Linked DNA regions of Mus musculus. The main gene of each other region encodes a partner of the protein of the gene in region 4 in a complex. Links are inferred from orthologs where the notes say so. Each region holds a gene or a part of one and is shown on either strand. Other genes may lie near its edges. The genes, in order: Vgll4, Zbtb16, Irf2 and Irf2bp2.

Region 1 (4,730 bases), on a different chromosome or scaffold from region 4:
AAAAGTGTGCTTCTGTAGGTACCATGGGATCAATTGGAAGCATAAAGCAGGATGCAGTGGTTAGCTGTGGGGCGTGGTGGTAAGAGGCCATGAGGCTTCTGAGCTTATTCACCAACACAAGCAAGTCTACTAAGTCACTCATCATTAGCATAGAAACTGGTTCTCACGAGTTAGACAGATCTTCTGTTTCAATACCTCAGACTCCCCAGAACCAGCACTGGGGTATCTGCTTCCCTTTATTGGCCTTTCAATCCTCCTCCGAAGTGACTATGAAGGCAGGCATCAGGATGGGGTTGCCATGCAGGGAGCAGCCCCAGCCATTTAGAACAGGTCTGGGTACATGGGGCACCTCCGTGGGAGAAAGTGGATTTAGCAGAAGATAATGTAGGCTCTGGTCCAAGACCTCAAGGAGGTCAGGCAACCCAGAGTGGATTCAAAAGTAAGATGCAGGGGTTCTTGTGTGCTACAGGGTAGGCGCTGGCCCATCCTCGTGGCGGCCGCTGAGAGAAGGAAGGCAGTGAGGACACAGTTCCCCTGACACATCCAGGGTTGTCGTTGCACCAACCTGGACAAGCGAAGCTTCCCACCTACACCTTCACTACTAAAGCCAATGGGACAAACACTGAGTCTGTCCCCTGCTGACAGGCAGGACACTGGCCTGTGCCCCAGATGAAATCAAATGCCACCTACCCCCGTCCACACGTGTTCCACACCACTGCCCTGGCACGCTGGAGGGCTGGCAGGTTCAATGCAAACAATTGCAGCGTACCTCATTTAAACTGTACCAACTTCTCCTCTGCTTTGTTTGTTTGTTTGTTTGTTTGTTTGTTTGAGACAGGCTGTCTATAGAGCCCTGGCTGTCCTCACTATAGACTGGCCTGGAGTGTAGACTGGCTAGCCTGGAACTCATAGAGATCCACCTGCCTCTGCCTCCTCTGGGCTGGGATTAAAGGCATGCACCTCCAGGCTTAGCTGTGTTCGCACTGTTTACAGGAGAGAACGCCATGTATGATTGGTACCCATCCTTCCACACAGCCCTCGCAGTGGAGACCAGATGTGTGTGGTGTTTACAGCGAGGAAACCAGAGGACATAAACAACTGGCTCTGAGCACTACTCAGGTTTTGCTGCGCTTTTCTTAATTTCCTGTGTATTTATTTTGGTGTTAGAATAATATTACCTTTCATAATAAGGAAAACAGGAGCAGATGTTTAAACTAAACAGATGATAGCCTGGGATCCCACGCATCCACTCGGCTCTCAGCTTCTAGGTCTGCTCTTCCAAACATCGAAGGAAACAGGACAGCTAACTGTTGGCATTTGTGCTTTCTGTGGAACCACACACCCACCTGGGGGAGCTGCAGAACTTCCTCCTGGGACACAAGGAAGGAACCACTGTCCTAGCAGCCTCTACGTGCCTCACCCGGGCCAGCCAGGCACTCTGTTTTGTTTTTTAAAGATTATTTGTTGACAAAGAAATCACATTAAAAGTTTTGAGCTTTCGATGTGGATTCTTTTTTTCTTTTCTTTTTTTTTTTTTTTTTTTAAAGACAATGCATGAATCCCAGCAGAAATCGCGTCTGGTGGCTTCTGGAGAATCCAGCCTTTGAGACGAGAGGGTTTGGAAGCTGAGAAGCTGAGGTGCTTTTTATATGTAGAGGAAACTTGTCAAAGTAAAGTGATATCTTATTTTTAAAAAGGCAAAACAACAACAAAACCCCTTTAAATGAGATTTTTCCCCCATAAAGTTAATTTTAAAGCAGGCTTGAGAGAGAAAGGGTATGTTTTCAACAACTTAAGAAGCAGATCTTAAACTTTTACACGAACACAACCAACTCTGCTCCCTCTTTTAACTTCTGTTCAAGACAAAGCAGACAACTCTCTAGGATTACTAGGTGAGAGACCCCAGAGCCTGCTGCCCACAGCAGGAAGACACCAGGAAAGACTCCCGGCAGCCCCAGGTCTCTCCCTGCCCGGCCAGTGCCACAACTCAGCCCCATTACCCTGGTCTCAAATCGCACGTAGGTAAGATTCCAAAAGATGGGATTGGGGTTTTCTCCAGAGAAGCTTAACTTACTACAGGGAGTGCCCAGGGGAAGGGGAGGTGATGGGCAAATCTAGGGGTGGGGGTATTTTCCACTTTCTTCAGCCTTCCGGCTGCTTATGGTGTAATTGCCAGGGACTGGGGTTGGAGGGAGCCTGTCTCACTGTCAGCTCTCTGCACAGGAAATGGGGCGGCAGACAAAGAGCCCGGCCTGGGCTCCCTGACACCAGGCCCTGCCAGTCCCACAAACCTCACAGGAAAAAAACCCCTTGATGCCTGAGACAATGGCTCAGGAAAACAACAACTTACTGTGGCTTTCTGCTGTTGTTCCTCTACCACATGAAATTCAGAGCAAGGGTCCACACCGAACACTGTACACGGTGATACGTTTAAAAATAAGTCCCAAGGCCCCTCCCCTCTACTCCAGCACCCACATGTTTAACTTCTCCTTACTTCTGTAAATTCCTACTTATGCATAAAATGCCAACAAAATCAAAAGAGAAAAATCACTTATAATGTAACGATCTTGTCAGACCTTGCTAGTACATCACAAGTAAACTTTTAACAGCGTGTCTCCTCCAGCCCTCCCCGGCTGCCACCCTCCTGCCGGGCAAAAGCGAACTGTCCTGAAATGGTACACAACTCTCTTTCCACTCGCTCCACCATCACAAGAAAGACAAGAAAATGTTCATAAGCCAGTCAAAGCCCCCCTCCAAAGGAGGAGTGGCCATCACAAAAGCAAAGAGTACATTCTAGAACATCTACCTTCATAGCACAGAACGCCGATATTGTTGTTCATCTTGTCCAAGTATTGGTAGTTCAACAGGTCCATCTTCATAAACAGCATTTATCTGTCCGGCTAGCAAAGAAAAACAGTTCTTTGCTTTCACCCCCAAAGAGAAAGTTTCAAAATTCAGTCTTAGCTGAGTAGCTCCAGGCTCTCCTAAAACTTCAGGAAGACAGAGGCCCAGCCTCAGGAGATCAAAACAAAGTATGTAAAAGGTTTTTAAAAATCATACACACACACACACACACACAAAAATCAGACTCAAACAAAACCCGTCAAGGGCTTGTGGAAGGTGTCTGATTGTGTCTTCTATTCGGCTTTAAAAAATCATTTCAGAAGACTTCTCGAGCCCGTCTTGGGGGTTTAAAAAGAAAGCAGTAAAAAAGAAAAACACAAAGCACATTTCTCAGGACAAAGGCACTCTCCCTCACAGCCCGCTGCAAGCTGACTGCACTGACATGCGGGCTATGCTTGGTATGACTCGTATGTAAACCAGCTTCCTCTGCTTTTGGGAGGGGGTAGAGGGCTGCTGTGAGCATGCTCACTGGAGCCTCGGCTCAGGCTCCAGGCGCTGCAGAATTAGCAGGAAGCAGAAAGAGGCGGGGGCAGTGAGGCACAGGGGGTGAGGAGAGCCTTTCCTCCCCGGAGCCAGAGGCCGGCAGAGGCAGAGGCCGAGGAAGTAAACCCCAGCAAGTTTGTGGGTGTTTTGTTTGTGGGGGAGGCTAAGCACAAAGTTTAAAAAAGAAAATCTGCTGTGGAAGCAAAGTACAGGGAATTTAACTTTCCGTGACTTCGTTGCAAGGGCTGGGAATCCAGGGCTTCCACAGGGGTGTGCTCTGTTTGGTACAAGGTTTCTTTGTTTCTTTGTAAGATGGGTTTATTAAGTCCAGGGACACAGCGAGTGTTTACATTTTCTTTTTTTTTTTTTTTTTTTTTTTTTTTTAAAGATTTTATTTATTTATTTATTATATGTAAGTACATTGTAGCTGTCTTCAGGTCTCATTATGGGTGGTTGTGAGCCACCATGTGGTTGCTGGGATTTGAACTCAGGACCTCTGGAAGAACAATCAGTGCTCTTAACCGCTGAGCCATCTCTCCAGCCCGAGTGTTTACATTTTCAAAGTCAATGTTACATGTAACTTCCTTCCTAAACTCTGTAGCTGTACAGATGGACAGGACACCAGAGGCAAATCCGTCCTCAGAAGAGTAAACAGATCTGGGGACAAGTGAGTGGCCTACAGGTCTCTCTCTCCCTCTCTCCCTCCCTCTCTCTCTCTCTCTCTCTCTCTCTCTCTCTCTCTCTCTCTCTGTGTCTGTCTGTCTCTCTCTCTCGCTCTCTCTCTGTCTCTCTGTCTCTCTGTCTCTGTCTCTCTCTCTCTCTCTCTCTCTCTCTCACACACACACACACACACAAACACACACACACACACACACAAACGGGGGAGTGGGGAGCTGGCTGGAGAGGTGGTTCCGAGCACTGGCCACTTTTGCAGAACACTTGAGTTCAGTACCCAGCACTCATAAGCACCTGTAACTCTATTTCCATGGAACCTGACTCCCTCTTCTGGCCTCCATGGGTACCGCATGCAATGACACACAGACATTGGAAAAAAAAAATGTACAAAAAAAAAAAAATACTTTTTAAAAATCTGTTTTCCAAACTCATCTGGGAGGTTGTGACCAATCATGGAAACTTTAAAAATGTTCCAAGTTCAAATCCAGAGCAGTGCTGAGCTTCATCAGCATCATGGAAGAAAGGAAAAGACCTGCTCTAAGTGACTCTGCTGCAGCCTGGCAGAGTGGCACCAGCCTGTAATTCTAGCAGTCGGAATCCGAGGGAGAGGAACTGCCACAAGTTCCAAGACCTCTCTGGGCTACTGTCAGCTCTGTCACACCTTCCCA
Region 2 (4,234 bases), on a different chromosome or scaffold from region 4:
CAAGCAGAGAATGCCGCAACCTGAAACACCCTCCCCCTGCACTCATACACACCATATATTTTTGGAGGTGAAGCCCAGAGATAAGGTCCAGAGATGCTCCCCACCCATCCCCTGGACCAGCCTACCTGTATGTGAGCGAAGGTGGCGCTTGAGAGCCGTGTGGCTGGGGAAGGTGCGGTTGCACTCACTGCAAATATAGCTGCGCACGCCTGCGTGGACCTCCATGTGCTGCTGGAGTGCGCTTTGTGCCTGAAAGCGTTTCCCACACAGCAGACAGAAGACAGCCATGTCCGTGCCTGTGGGAGACAGCAACGGGAGAGCCTCAGCAACGGAGAGACCCAAGGCCAGATTTTCACCCCTGAAGACCCAGCGCTGCCCCCTAGAGATCCTAAAGCCCACAGTCCAGTCCGTGAGCACCCTGAATGTAGCTCCAACGGGTGCCCGACCTCCACGAGACCTAAAGGTTTGGGGAGAAAGATACAAAACCATGTGGATGGTAACGTAGATGCATCTCTGCAAGAGGTTTGAACGCAATGCAGGTGACTAAGGGAGTGAACTCGGGGACCTTACAGAGTCTGAGGCAGCAGTGGGGAGACGGGAAATTCTGTGTGAACCAACAATAACCTGGATCACACGAGCTGGCCACTGTTGTGACATAACTCACTGAAAACCACAAACCTCATGTAAGGAGAAAGAAACACGGGGAGATTAACCCACCCCAATTGCCATTGGATTCCCAACTGGGAGCAGTAAAAGGATTCATTCATTTATTCCCTTGGGTTAGCTCTAGATCAGTGCCCCACCCCAACCCCCTAGACAGGATTTCTCTGTGTAGTCCTGGCTGTCCTAGAACTCTATCTGTAGACAAGGGCTGGCCTTAAACTCAAAGATCTGCCTGCTTCTGCATCCTGAGCGCTGCTATTAAAGGTGTGAGCCACTACCACCACCACCACCACTGGTGACTATATTCTTATAACCACTCTCCCATCTTAAAAAAAAATTCAGGCATTGGTGAGAGTCATTTCATTCTATTGTACTGTGATACTTCCTAGAAGGGAGACTCTCTCTGGGGTTCTGGGGATGAAAGGCTGGGGAAGAGTATACTAGTCCCTGTTCTGATCTCAGTAGCACCCAGCACCCAGTGCATGGAGATTGGAACCGAGTCTGTGAGCATTCAGGGAGAGCCACACCAGGTTGAGCACAGTGACCAGTCCTAACGTTAGAAGCAGGGAGAACATACAAAGAAAGAAGAGCCAGGAGCCAGGAGCCAGATCACGTGGGTCCTGACCAGCCATACTACAAAGCCCAGGGGTTCATCCTCAGACCAACAAGAAGTTGTTAAAGGATTTCCAACTAGTGAGTCACATGAAATATTCATTCAGTTCTACCTGGTCACTTGCTCGGCTGGCCCAGTAGCCTAGGTGCCTACTGAAGCCCGCAAAGGCAGGCTGCTATCTTCCATCCCTCAACACCTTCCTGACACAGCCTTCCAGTTGAGACTCAACTCAAAGCTGATCAGGTCAAGGTCTGACAGTTGAGTGCAAAGAGGAAGGAGCACCAGAGCATTTGGGCTACTGAAAGTCTCAGGCTGCTCAGTGGGGCATAAGGAAGCTCTTCGGGCCAGGTGAGAGAGAAAGGAACGGGAAGAGTTTTGCTGCCTCCCTGACTAGCAATGGCTACAGCAAATGGGAGGGCTGGGTCTTGCCTCCTCAGGACCACATGTAGCTTGGTCTGGAATAAAAGGCAAGGACCTCCCTTTTCCACTGGTGTCACTTGCACAAGAGACAGCACTGTGGGACTGAGCACAGGCCATGCCACCCAAATATGGGCAGAGAGAAAAGCATATGGGCTTGCGTTGGTAGCTGATGTTGTTAGAGATAGGGAATCCAAAATGTTGGGCAAGGAGCTGTGGCAAGGACCACCACACAATTACCCGTTGGCTCCTCTCTTTGCAGACACTGCATTCTAGCTACCTGTGGTCATGCTTGCTTCATCAACCAACAGCTGGGAGGGCTGCACGGAGGAAGAACCCCTGGTGTCCTCCAAAGGTCTGAGAGCAGAAGGGAGAGGACACTAAAGACCACCATTTCCACTAGGTGCTTTATCTGTGCTGTCATCTCATTTAAAACACGCATCCCTAATGGGCAGGCATTGTTGCCACCTTCTTCCAAAGAGAAAAATAGAGATTAAATAACTTGCCTAAGGTCACACAGTGAGAAAGAGGTAGAGCTGGGAATCTAGAAAATGCCTTGGTCCATTTGATTGTAGAAACCACCAACTGAATCCCACTTATTTTAGAGTCTTTAGTATGTGTGCCATGTACCTTTGTAGGGTGTACGTGTGTGATGGGGTGTTTGAAGGCCAGAGGTTATTAACCTCAGGATGGCTCTCCATCTATTTTATTAAGACAGGACCTTTCACTGAATCTTGTAGTTTTGGGTAGACTAGTTGGCCAGGGAGCTGTGGGATTGGCTTGTCCCTGTTACCTGCAGGGGGAAATTACAGGCACAGGAAGCCATGCCTGGCTGTTATGTGAGTGCTGGGCATCCAAATGCAAGTCCTCATGCTTGCTCATCAGTCAGTGTACCCAACTGAGTCACTTCCTAGCTTCTGAACCTCATTTGGGACATATCTGTCTATCTGGGCTTCCCCTAGACAGTAAGGAGCAAGCACCAAAGCATGCTGGGATCACTCTAGAAATGGCCCGGGAAGCACAGTCAGAGGCAGGTCATTGGACACAGGTAACTTAAACTTTCCAAACCCAAGATCCACAGGAAGGAGCCAGTAAGAGAGTCCCATCCGATGCAGGAGGACATCCACGAAAGAGGTAGTCCATTGGGCAGAAGCAGCTACAAGCTCTGACACTGAGTCCTGCAGTGTCCAGTCCAGCCCGGTAAGCAAGAGCAGATTCCACCCACAAACAAGTTCTAATGCACACAGCACCACAGTCCAGTGTCATAGGTTTTCAGCACCTATTCCCGCTTTACCCTGAACTCTATCCCACAGAAAGCCTAACTAGGCTAGGTGCTCAGACCGAGCGAGCTTGTTTCCTGAACAGGCATGCTTCTACCAGCCAACATTTTTAATTCTTACTCTGAGATCCCCAGTATGGACTTGGACAGTGAATGAATGTCACTCCAGGAGGATACCCTGAAATATGCCACCTAGCAGAGCACACTGAGTGGCATCCTGTCCCCTTGCTATTCCCAAAGTGCTTAGAAGCTGCTCTCCTGGGCCACCTGCATCTCACAGAATGGCCTGAATTTGCTTTGTGTCCGTTTACCTGTCTTACTCCATTACCAAGTGACCAAGAAGAGGCTGAGATGGAGTAGAGAAGCTGGATACCAAGCCTGGTCAAGAAATACCATCCAGAGCATAGATAAGAAAGGGTGGCTCCAACGGAGCTTCAGAGATTTTGAGTTCAGCTCCGAGAAACGGGGTGCATCTGAGAAGCCAGGGGTAAAAGAAAATGGCTAAGAGTGAGCTGCAAACGGATTTCAGAGGAGGTAGCACAGAGGATGGAGACAAGCCTGGCAAACTGGGGAGGTCAGATCACAGAGGACAGACAGCATAGATGGAAGGCATCCCACAGGCAAAGCGGGGCCACAGGGCTGGAGTGCTGTAAAGGTCTAGATGTCCCCTTCCCCACTGCAAAACTGAGTATGTTAAAAATCATTACCCCCAAGGGGATGGTATTACCAGATTCAGGCTTAACAAAGTCTTTTATTACAAGGGTGGAGCCCTCCTCAACAAGATGAAAAGATCCTTTTTCAAGGTCAGAACACAAGACACAGTCAGAAGTCTGCAGTCTACAGCTAGGAAGAAGGGCATCCCAGGAAGCCAGCCGTGCTGGAATCCCCATCTCAGACTGCCCACCCCTTCAGGACCGGGAGAGATTCATTTCTAGATATGAATCATCCAGTCTATGGTTCCATGTTATAGCAACTCAAACTGACGGGAGACAGGTAGGTGCCACGTGTCCAACAGCCTAGTGGGCAGCACCTCCATACACATCCAAGGCGTGGATGGTCTCAAGTGGCTGGAAGCTGGGAGAGAACGACTGGCTTTTGTGCTACTACAGGAGGAAGGTGGAGACAAGATGAGGCCAGAGGTTTTGTGCAGGAGCTGGGCTCTAGGAGGGAAAAGGGAAAATAAAATCCCCACATGGCCAGCTCTGCATCTGAGTGGCTTAAGGTTCTACAATTGCCAGTTAAAAAGAAATATTATGACTCAG
Region 3 (4,752 bases), about 80 Mb from region 4:
TCACGGTTCTAGTTGGGTTCACAGAGCCTGCCACTGTGTCTGGTAGTTCATGGCCCACAAATATTTGTCAAATATATAAATAAGTTCTCCAGATTGCGCTAAGGCCTGTTTGGCAGGAGGCAGATAAGGGATCTGCAATAAAATTCCCGGTGTAGTTCAGTAGTCTATTTGCCATTAAAAAAGGGGGTGGGGTGGGGGGAAAGCTGGAAAAGAGGATCCAGATTTTACCGAATAAAGCTGAGATTAAAAGAGTGGTGCACTTGGATATGTGAGGAAATCAATGTGCGTCAAGGGACTATCCAAAGTTTCAAGTCTTCCACTCTTAGATTTAAACAGCTTTCACTCGCTCTGGTATATTAAATATTTACTTAATAAAGTATTTCAGGAGCCCATAGTTCCTAGAGCCTTCAGGACTTCATGTCAATTTCTCTTTTGCCTCAATTTGCTTCCAATTTGATTACAAGTCCTCTTTTTTTGTTTCATGAAGATGCCATTTTTACAGGTTAAGTCATTCTGAAACACGTGCAACTCTTCCTAACTTTTGCAGGTCAAGGGGGGGAAAAAAGACCACTCATTGAGAATGAAATATGTAAGTGTTTAATTTTAAGAAGCAGTAACAAATCATAACAGGCAAGATCTCTTGGATCTAAGCACAAGACAAAATCTAACTTCTTACGCAACAAGCTAGGCTATAAATTATAATCATTCACCAATCACAGTGACGTTCCGGACTTTGCCCCATCAATCAATAGATGCTCCAACGTTACCCCTTAGAGATGCCAACTCAAGCCTGAAATATTCCATTTGCTTGAAGCTGCCTTAGAAAAGCCAAATGCCAAGCTTTTATTGGTTTCTATTTTTGTGACACACGCCACCCCACCCCCCAAAAAAGAATGAGAGTTGAGAAAAATCAGAGACTCCTGCACTTGGGCGAGTGATTAAGTTAAACAGGGCAACCTCTAGGGCTCTGCCCTAACCAAGCAGTGTGCATCTGTCTACCATGCAATCAACCACCTTCTAAAAACAGTAGGCTAAACAAACGGGTCCCTGCACCTGCCCTTAAGCACCTTAAGTGCAGGCTGCTAACTTCAAATGTTACTTGCAGTCAGTCGATATAAAAAAAAACAAAAACAAAAACAAAAACAACCAACAAACAAAACTAATAAATGACTTCAGGCATGACAACAAGCTCCCAAGCTCCCGTGATTCCTGAAAATGCACAACAGGAAATGTAACTGTCCTCCACCCTCAGGAGCCATTCATCAAGAGCAGCCCGGAGTCCCAGCCACAGGGAGGCGAGTGGCAGAAAGCTAACCCCAGGACTACTTTGCCTCCCTGGTACAGACACAACCAAGGAAGGACAAGGAGTGCCCACGCGGGAGGGAGGAGGGGACAAGAAACATGTCCCCCAAGTTTCAAACACACTGGGCTTAAGGACCTGCAAACCCGCTCGCAAACGAGTGACAAGGTGGCCTGCCAATCCCAGGGGTCTTATTTACATCCGACCACCAAGGATCTCGCCTCCACCGACTGATCCGGGCGTCTCACCTGGGGCCCGAGCACAGTCCTGGCTCGCGGCGGAGGCTACTAGCCTCCTTCCCTTCCCTGCTCCTAAGGGGCGAGGGACTGAGGGTGGCAAACGGTCCGAGAGCCGGGGCCCAGCGGACAGCGTCCGGGGAGCCGGGGCCCTGAGCTCTCGCGAAGGCTTCCCGGGCCGCTCAGGGGAGCCGGCCCCCAAGGCCGAGCGACAGGGACTAGCTGGGCACCGCGATTGGCCGCGGCCCGCATCGCTCGCCCAGAGAGCCGGGCCGGCGGGGCGGAGAGGAAGTGGTGGCTGCCGCTCTGCACCAACCATGTTCGGCCGGCGGGCGAATGTCACCCGGCGCCCGGAGCGGGTCGGAGGGCACAGGGCGGGCACTCATTCCCACCACGTCCCGGAGACCCCAAGCGTTCGTCAGCCTCACCCCCAACCCCATGCTAGCCCGCCGGGCGCCGCTCGGTCCCCGGAGGTTCCCCGCCCCCACACCTCGCCCGTTCCGTAGCCAAGGCGGGTCGGGGCCCAGCGCGCCAGGCCGGCCCCGGGGGCGCCCGCGGGGACCCGGAGGCACTCGCAGCTAGGCCGCGCCGGGGTGGGTGACCCCTGAGCGCGGAGCCCTCCGGGGACGCGCCTCCGAGGCGCCTCACGCGCTGGGACAAGTGCAGTGACAAAGCCCGGAGGCCAGGCCAGACGCTGGCCGGCGGGGAGGAGGACGCGACGTTCCTGGCGTGTGGCGGCGGCCCAGTCCCCAGGAAGCCGGGCGCGCCGGCCAGGCCCGCGCCCAGCCGCGCGCGGAGCCCGCCCGGCCCGAGTGTCCACTGGCACCAGACGCCGGTCACCCGACCCCAAGCCCCGCGGGCGAGCGCATCCTGGGACCGCCTTAGGGCAGCCTTCAAGTTTACAGTGGTCACTGCCCGGGCACGGGCATCTAGGGACCGCGGGTGCCAGTCTATTTACACCAGAGACCGCCGGGAAAGAAGGGCCGCTGGGCACCGAGAAGAACCCGGTTCCCTTCCTCGGACCTGGTGGCGACAGTGTCTGTAAACACTCATACACATACAACACACACACACACACACACACACCAATTTTATTTTAAATGAGGCCGGACTCCAACGGACCTGTACCCACAACACACGACACCTGGAGCGCAGAATCACACAGAGCAGATCTGTGTCCATGGAGCCACCTCTTCTCATCTGCAAATCCAAAAGTGAAATTAAACCTTCACTAACCTCCTCCTCCTCCCTCTCTACCTCCTCCTCTTTGCAGCCTCAGCAGCCCCAGTACCAGCGGCAACAGCAGCAGACCCCTGCTTCCCCTAAAATCAGATGATCCATAACTGCGCCGACTCTTCCTCCAAAAATCGGTATTAATATTTATGAACCCCGGCATTTTTCCGTCTGCAAAACATCGTGTCAAAGCATCAGGACGCACATACATACATAGCTCCTCCTGTCCCCGTCAACATGCCCTCGAGAGAAAACACACGCACAGCCACAACTATTATTTGAAAAAAAAAAATGTTACCTCTCAATGTGCTTTTTTTTTTCCACGCTACCAATACAATCCCGCAAGGTGTGAGTGTTGTTAGGGTGTGTAAAATGGAAATGAAAGCCCGTCAGTTGAATAATCGCAGGAGCAAAACTAAAAGTTAGTCCCCGGCTTGCCTGAGAACAGTCCAGATCGAAAGCAAAACAAGGAGAGGAAACTGCGAGGAGCCGAGGCTGGAAATCCCCCCCACCCCCGCCCTCTCCCGGCCCCGCTCCCTCCCTCGCTCCCCCTCCGCCCTCCTCCCTCCCCGCCCTTCCTCCCCAGTGTTTGTTTCAAGCTTGTGCAACCCGGAGGTGGAGGCAGAGGGAGGGCTCCAGCCGCCAGCCTGGAGGTGCGGAAGTTCGCCGCCGCTGTTCATTGGCGGCCGGCACGGCTTTCATCATTTCTCGGAAAAGTCAATTTCATTTTCACTTCCCCACGTCGCGGCTGCGGGGAGCAACAAGCGGCAGCGCGTGTGAGCGTGGGGATCGCGCCGAAGGGCGCGCGCTTTTCACCGGGGCCACGCTGGGACTGTGGGGCACCAGAAGTGGTGGACGGGGCGCTGGCTTGGGAGCTGGCCACCAGCTGGTGGTGGCCGTAGGGAAGGAAGGAGATGACCTGACTCTACATCCTACCTGAAGGGTGGAGATGGACCAGAGAGAGCCCCGGAAGCCTGGGGACCCTTCCCGACCTGTGGCTTAAGTGCTCAGAACCGCTGTGCACAGGCTGCATATACAAACTCATCTTGGAAAGTCGCCCGCTGCAAAGGAATGTAAGGAACGAAGTCAGCTGAAAAGACGGCATTACTTGTGCCCCTACTTTATTGGATCTCCTACTGGGGAACGGGGGGGGGGGGGGGGTTTGAGGGGGGTTGAAGGGCCAGCCTGGCACTCAGTGTGGAAGCTAGGATGGTTAGGAAGGCCTTCCCCTAGAAAGTCACTCTCCAAAGTTACTTCATGTCTTTGCCATAACCGGTCCAGTTCCTGCAAAATGCAAGGGTTTGAGTTACATGAACTTAAACTGTCTTGATTGGGACTGAACCTGGAGGGAACGCTGCCTGTTAACTCCTAAATTTGGCTGTCCTTATTGGTTGAACATCCTTGGCTGCTGTCCTCTGTGCTGTTCCGTGGAGACAATACTGAATGCAAGAAGAGGGCCCAGTACCTATGACAGGTGCAGCGGCCTATGGGCTCTACTAGGCCAGCTCGCTTGGAACCTCTTGCTGTTTGGTCACTTAACTTTAAAAGTATTCCCTTACATTTAGTTACACCTGCTTCTTGCCTGGCTTACAGTTTCCTCAGCCCACCACCTGCCTTCTCTAACCACTGGGGAAAGCATCCCACCCTAGGAGACTGTCACTATCTATGTGTAAACATCTGAAAAATAATTCTACCTCCTCTTTGCCATAGAATTAGTGGATTCCACAGACAGGGATAAAGGAAAGTATGCATGCCCTTGTAGAAGGAGAGCAGTGAGATTAAGGACCCTGTCTTGTGGCCTCAAAATAGATCCTTCCTGCACAGTGTCCTTTATTTCTCCCATAATAACACTGCACACTCCTTGCATTTATATTTCATATATCAGTAACCACAGGGATATACACACTGCATGGTAGTTGTATGTCTTTACCCACCAGGCACCTAAGTTAAAAGCCTAATAACCACAGGTCATTATTTTCTGGC
Region 4 (4,775 bases):
ATATATATGTATGGAGATCTATATACAGTTCAACAAGTTTGAGTTAAGGGTAACCATGGGCTTTTCTGAACGCAGAAAGTCACGAGTCTCTCTCCTTCTTCACTTTCACATCTCCGGCGAGGATGGTAGCAATCTCTCCTTGCATGAAGGCCCAGGGGACATTGGAGCCCACCAGAGGACACTTCTCTCCACTTGGGCAATAGACCTCTCCGCTAGCGCCCTGCTGTTTAATGCTTTGTCTGGAGCAAGGGAAACAGAACTTGTGCGAAGGGACAGACGGGCACTGCACAAAGTGAGTATCCTCCAGCCGCTCGTGGCAGAGGGTGCAGCACAGGGGGGCGCTGGCTGCCAGAGAGGAGTCTGGGAGGCTGGCAGGGTGCACCGGCTCCAGTCCTCCGGTGCTGCCGGTGGCCTGGCCCCCCACCTCTCTGGGGCCAAGCCTTCTTTGGTTCATAGAGGAGGGAGAGGGCGGGCTGCTGCTGTTCCTCCTGGTGGTGGAGTGAACCTGGGTGGCATCTTTTGAGGCGTGACTGCCCCCGGCATTGTCTGCTACTAAAATCAGGGCTGCCATTGGGGACTGGCCATTCTGGGCCGCTTCAGGCGGTGTGGTCCGGTTGGAATGAGGAGAGGCAGTAGGGGGTGGTGGAGACACAAAAGAGGATGTAGGGGTGATGGGGATCTTGAGCCCTTCTGTGGAAGTGGACAGCCAAGGCTGTGTCTCACCATTGATCTTAGGGGGCCCGACTTCCCCTTCCGGTTCTGGGGAAGGCTTCCTTTTCCTTGCTGTCCTTGCAACTGGAAAGAGACAGGTATGGAAGAAAAGGAAGATTAACTTTAACGTACCCCCAAAGAGACAGCTCTCATCTTCAAAAACACACATAGTTCTGCACGCAGCTTCAAACATTTCCCCTAATAAAGGGCTCTGAGCCTGCACACCACCTCCAAGGTAAGCCAAGTCATGGGATCCTGCCTGAAAGGCTCCAACCCCAGACCAGCTCATGTGACTGCATTTAGCAGACAGGTTAAAGGGTGACTGCTGCCCTCACGCTTCCATCCAAGAATGTGCTGGGAAAGGAAAACCCCGTGTCGCTGCCTATCAACCCGTTCTGACTCATCCCTGTTGTGCTGGTTCAGCAGAGGGACCACGTTGCCACTAAGCTCTGGTTCAGCCCCGGGCCGACCAGGAAGTTGGCTGTTTGTTGTTTCTGGATTAAGGCAAAACTGTGCATGGAAGAATGGATCCCTACCACCCACCCACCCACCCACCCACCCACGCGCACACACGCACGCGCGCGCGCGCACACACACACACACACACACACACACACGGGTGGGCGGGCGCTCAAACGCTGCCTCTAACCCCACGCCCTCCATCCCTTCTCCCCTCGCCCCGCAGTCGCCCCTACCTGCTTTAGACCCGTTGGCCCCGTTGGCCTCGAAACCCAACAACCTGCCTGCTGCAGTCAGAGCCGGCTCCTTCTTGAACTTGCTCTCGAAGGGCCCCGAGTGGCCGTGCTGGTGCAGCGCCAGGAGCGTGTCCCGCACCGTCTTAGGCCTGCTGGCCCAGTCCTGCTCCCCGGGCGCGCGGCCTTTGCCTGCACCCTCGGCGCTCAGCTCGCTGGCCCCGGCCGCGCTGGATAAGCTGTCGGCCGGACTCCGGTGCGCGGGCTGCGCCTTCTCCTTGCTCGGCTCGCGCGCCTCGTGCTCCGCCGCCGCGCTCGACACAGACGCCGGGCGTTTGTGGGTGCCCAACTCGGCGGGCTGAGCTCCCAGGCCCGGTGTTCCGCTCACCGCGGCCAGTGTGGCCGCAGCACGGCCGCTCAACCCCAGCGCGGCAGAACCGTTGACCAGAGGCACCAGAGTGGGCGGAACGGCGTGTGCACGCCGAGGGTTCGGGCTCTGGCGATTCAGCTCCGGCGGCTCCTCCAGTTTGGAGAACCCGTTGGGCACCAGGATGCCGTTCGCCGGCGCGGACTGCTGCGCGGCCGACTGTGGGAGGCCTGCACCCGCACGCGTGCTGAAGTCGGAGGCCAGGCGCGGGGCACGATCCGGCGCCAGCGGGTAGCGCTCCATAGCCTGAGCGCGCGCGGCCTCGGCGCCCGCGTGGCCCAGCTGCGGCGGCGGCTGCAGCAGTAGGTCCTTGGCCGACAGTGGCGGTGGCTTGGCGGCTGCGGGCTGTGCACCGGTCGGGGAGCGGCCCTCCGGGAAGCAGCCGTGAGCACGCTTCAGCTGGCGGGCCGTCTCGATGACGAACTCCACGCGGTCGGCTCCCTCGTAGTTGACGCAGCCGCGGCACACGGGCTCCGTGAAGTCCCAGATCATGGCCCAGGGCATGCGGGGCAGGTCACACAGATAGCACGACTGGCGCCGAGAGGCGGCCGCCACCGCCACCGCCGCGGCCATGTCCGCACAGCCCGCCGCGCCGCAGGAGGAGCCGGGTGAGGGGACGCCGCCGCCCCCCGTGGATCCCGCGCGCGCGCGCCGGCCGGCCCAAGCCCGCGTCTGCGCGACTAGCGGCGGCGGCGGCCGCAGGCGAGGAGGCGGCGGCGGCAGAGCCCGGGCCGGCGCGGCGCCCGCGCGGCGCCCCCGGGGCACGAGGGGCGGCGGGCGCGCGGCGGGGCGCGCCTGCAGGTCCCCACGGGCGGCGGGGCGGCGCGGCGCGCGCGGGGGCGGCGGCTCGGCCGGGGCCGCGGGCTGGGGCCTCCAGACCGGGGCAAAGACGGGCCGCGAGCGCAGCAGGTCGCGCTGGCGCCCGGGGCGCAGAGCCGCGCGAGGTACGGGGGACGCGGGGCAGCCGCCGGGGCAGCTCAGCCCGAGCGGCGGGGCATGCCGCGCGCGGCGGCGTGCAGCTCGGTCCCGGGCCCCGGCGCGGCCGCTGCACAGCACCCACTGCGCCTCAGCTCCTGCGCCGCCGCTGTTGCTGCTGCTACCGCCGCGGCCGCTCCACTTCTACAGACTTGATTCTTCGACAGCTCTGCACGGCGCCTGCGCGGCCCCCTCCCTCCCTGGCGCGCGCGGCCCCGTGCGCCCGCCCTCCTTCCCTCCCTCCCTCCCTCTGCGCTCTCTCGCGCGCCACCCTGGATTCTTCCGTTTCTCGATCGCGTGCGCGCCGGGACTGAGGCGCAGACCAGTTCACGCGGCCCTAGCGCCGCAGGTGTGCAGCTCGCGTCCCCAAGAGTCCCGTGTCACCCCGCCTACCCAGCCAGGATGCTCCAACCCATGGCCCTGTTCTTTCGATTAAATCGTGCAAACTGTTTTATTTTACATGCAATGCCACTTTATCACTTGGTTACTGGCAGCCTCCTGAGCATGGAATTTGGAGCATAGCGAGGCGCACTTTGGACTTTTCCTTGTTAGCGTCTCACTTGGCTTCAGCTGGGCGCGCGCACGCTATCAACACTCTGCCCTGTTTTGGTCGAGGAAGCAACTACACACTGCCGCTGCCCCTTTAAGTTTTACAAAAACTTAGTGCTCAGGCAGGCCCGGCCTCTTTTGCGCGTGCACTGAAAGGAGGACGCACAGGCCCGAGGCTCCTCAGGCGCCGCCGCCCAGCGTCTTATGTAGGTCTGTGCAGCGAGCGCGTGACGTGGGCAAGGGACGCTGCCACTGCGCAAACTCCACATAAGACGTGCCCAGCGCCGCGGGCCCTGGGGCCGCGCCGAGCTAGTGCACATTCCAGGGATCTGGGCTCTGCAGCGCACCGCGTCACGGCTCAGGACCCGCCCCCGGTCTCTGGCTAGTAGGCCCTGCCCCACCGCCTCCGCGGGGCCGAACTTCGAGTGGCCAACTCTGGGCGCGCGCTGTCCCCTTTGCGCCTAGGGCGTGCGCTGGCGGGTGGACTTGGCTGTCTGTTGTACCATCCGGCTTAGCCCAGTGGGCACAGACGCGCCTGGCAGCATCGCTTCGTTGTTCCCTTCCACGCTGGGCAGTGAGGGCTGCCCAGAGTGGACGGAACACCGAATTGTACACTTTGGTAGGGAGCAGGGACTGGTGTGTGCTGTCAGTGGTCGGTCAGTCAGGCTCTGATTTGAGACCTACTACTCTGAGTAAGAGCCGCTTTTGCTTTTGTGGTGAACAACGCAGGTCCACCTCTCTCCCCAAGATTGGAATGGGCTGGTTAAGTGTGGGAAGAGCAGGGTACTAAGTACATTAGCTTTCCTACAACTGGATTGGAAGGTGGAAAGGGAGGGGGGAAAAATCTGCTGACCTTTTTTTCTCCGGTGGCTGCTATTGAAAAATGCCAGGTTGCTTCAAAGAATAGCCACAAGAGGAAACACGCCCCACAGAGAAGCAGCCCAGAGAGCTGTTTAGAGCACAAGAATAAACCTGTTGGAGGTGGCACAGAAAGCTTAGCGCCAGATGCCAAGGGCGTCCACAGGCTAACCTTGAACGTCTCTCTCGGGGCTTTCCAGAGAAGGTACATCTGTGTCAAGGGCCTCCCCAGCTCCCCTTCCAGTCACAAGCCTGCCTCACCCTCTCCAAGCCTGGAATGGGGCCTACCCGGATCCATTCCCAGAAGCAGCTGGTGCCAGCTGGTTTGGGCACCTGCTCCAGGACCTGTCAGTCTGGTCACTCTCTTCCAAGACCCTGTGTCACTCATCTGAGCACGTGATTTTGACCGTGCAGAACCTGAGTGGAGGAGATGAAGCTGCCCTGACTGCAGAGTCATCTCAGTGCCCTGAGAGATGGCCCACTAGGCAGACACAGAAACATTAAAACAAAGCAGAACCTCCCTTGAAAGCCTGGCCTGATTGTACTCGGTCCACCTGCCAGCA

What was found.
Region 1: the proteins of Irf2bp2 (region 4) and Vgll4 are in contact, whole or in part, in a crystal structure (PDB 8YTF), measured with the Homo sapiens proteins. The link is inferred for Mus musculus from reciprocal best matches to the Homo sapiens genes IRF2BP2 and VGLL4. Residues at the interface, in NP_892017.2 of Homo sapiens: Thr516, His517, Phe518, Val519, Gln520, Pro522, Phe531, Leu557, Trp564, Ala565, Phe566, Met567, Glu570, Thr573, Ile574; in NP_055482.2 of Homo sapiens: Arg161, Ser163, Val164, Ile165, Thr166.
Region 2: the proteins of Irf2bp2 (region 4) and Zbtb16 are in contact, whole or in part, in a crystal structure (PDB 8YTH), measured with the Homo sapiens proteins. The link is inferred for Mus musculus from reciprocal best matches to the Homo sapiens genes IRF2BP2 and ZBTB16. Residues at the interface, in NP_892017.2 of Homo sapiens: Thr516, His517, Phe518, Val519, Gln520, Pro522, Phe531, Leu557, Trp564, Ala565, Phe566, Met567, Glu570, Thr573, Ile574; in NP_001018011.1 of Homo sapiens: Arg285, Ser287, Val288, Ile289, Thr290, Ser291.
Region 3: the proteins of Irf2bp2 (region 4) and Irf2 are in contact, whole or in part, in a crystal structure (PDB 8YTG), measured with the Homo sapiens proteins. The link is inferred for Mus musculus from reciprocal best matches to the Homo sapiens genes IRF2BP2 and IRF2. Residues at the interface, in NP_892017.2 of Homo sapiens: His517, Phe518, Val519, Gln520, Pro522, Phe531, Leu557, Trp564, Ala565, Phe566, Met567, Glu570, Thr573, Ile574; in NP_002190.2 of Homo sapiens: Arg331, Ala332, Ser333, Val334, Ile335, Lys336.

Annotation. Positions count from the first base shown.
Region 1 is NC_000072.6:114,918,511-114,923,240, forward strand, and holds the start of Vgll4 (transcription cofactor vestigial-like protein 4), read right to left. Parts: upstream 3,312-4,730; 5' UTR 2,889-3,311; coding exon 2,807-2,888; intron 1-2,806. UniProt on the Homo sapiens protein: May act as a specific coactivator for the mammalian TEFs.
Region 2 is NC_000075.6:48,665,030-48,669,263, forward strand, and holds part of Zbtb16 (zinc finger and BTB domain-containing protein 16), read right to left. Parts: intron 297-4,234; coding exon 126-296; intron 1-125. UniProt on the Homo sapiens protein: Acts as a transcriptional repressor. Transcriptional repression may be mediated through recruitment of histone deacetylases to target promoters. May play a role in myeloid maturation and in the development and/or maintenance of other differentiated tissues.
Region 3 is NC_000074.6:46,738,252-46,743,003, reverse strand, and holds the start of Irf2 (interferon regulatory factor 2), read right to left. Parts: upstream 3,260-4,752; 5' UTR 3,068-3,259; intron 3,057-3,067; exon of another isoform or gene 2,773-3,056; intron 2,756-2,772; exon of another isoform or gene 2,737-2,755; coding exon of another isoform or gene 2,659-2,736; exon of another isoform or gene 1,549-2,658; intron 1-1,548. UniProt on the Homo sapiens protein: Specifically binds to the upstream regulatory region of type I IFN and IFN-inducible MHC class I genes (the interferon consensus sequence (ICS)) and represses those genes. Also acts as an activator for several genes including H4 and IL7.
Region 4 is NC_000074.6:126,591,034-126,595,808, forward strand, and holds the start of Irf2bp2 (interferon regulatory factor 2-binding protein 2), read right to left. Parts: upstream 2,954-4,775; 5' UTR 2,404-2,953; coding exon 1,407-2,403; intron 796-1,406; coding exon 80-795; 3' UTR 1-79. UniProt on the Homo sapiens protein: Acts as a transcriptional corepressor in a IRF2-dependent manner; this repression is not mediated by histone deacetylase activities. Represses the NFAT1-dependent transactivation of NFAT-responsive promoters.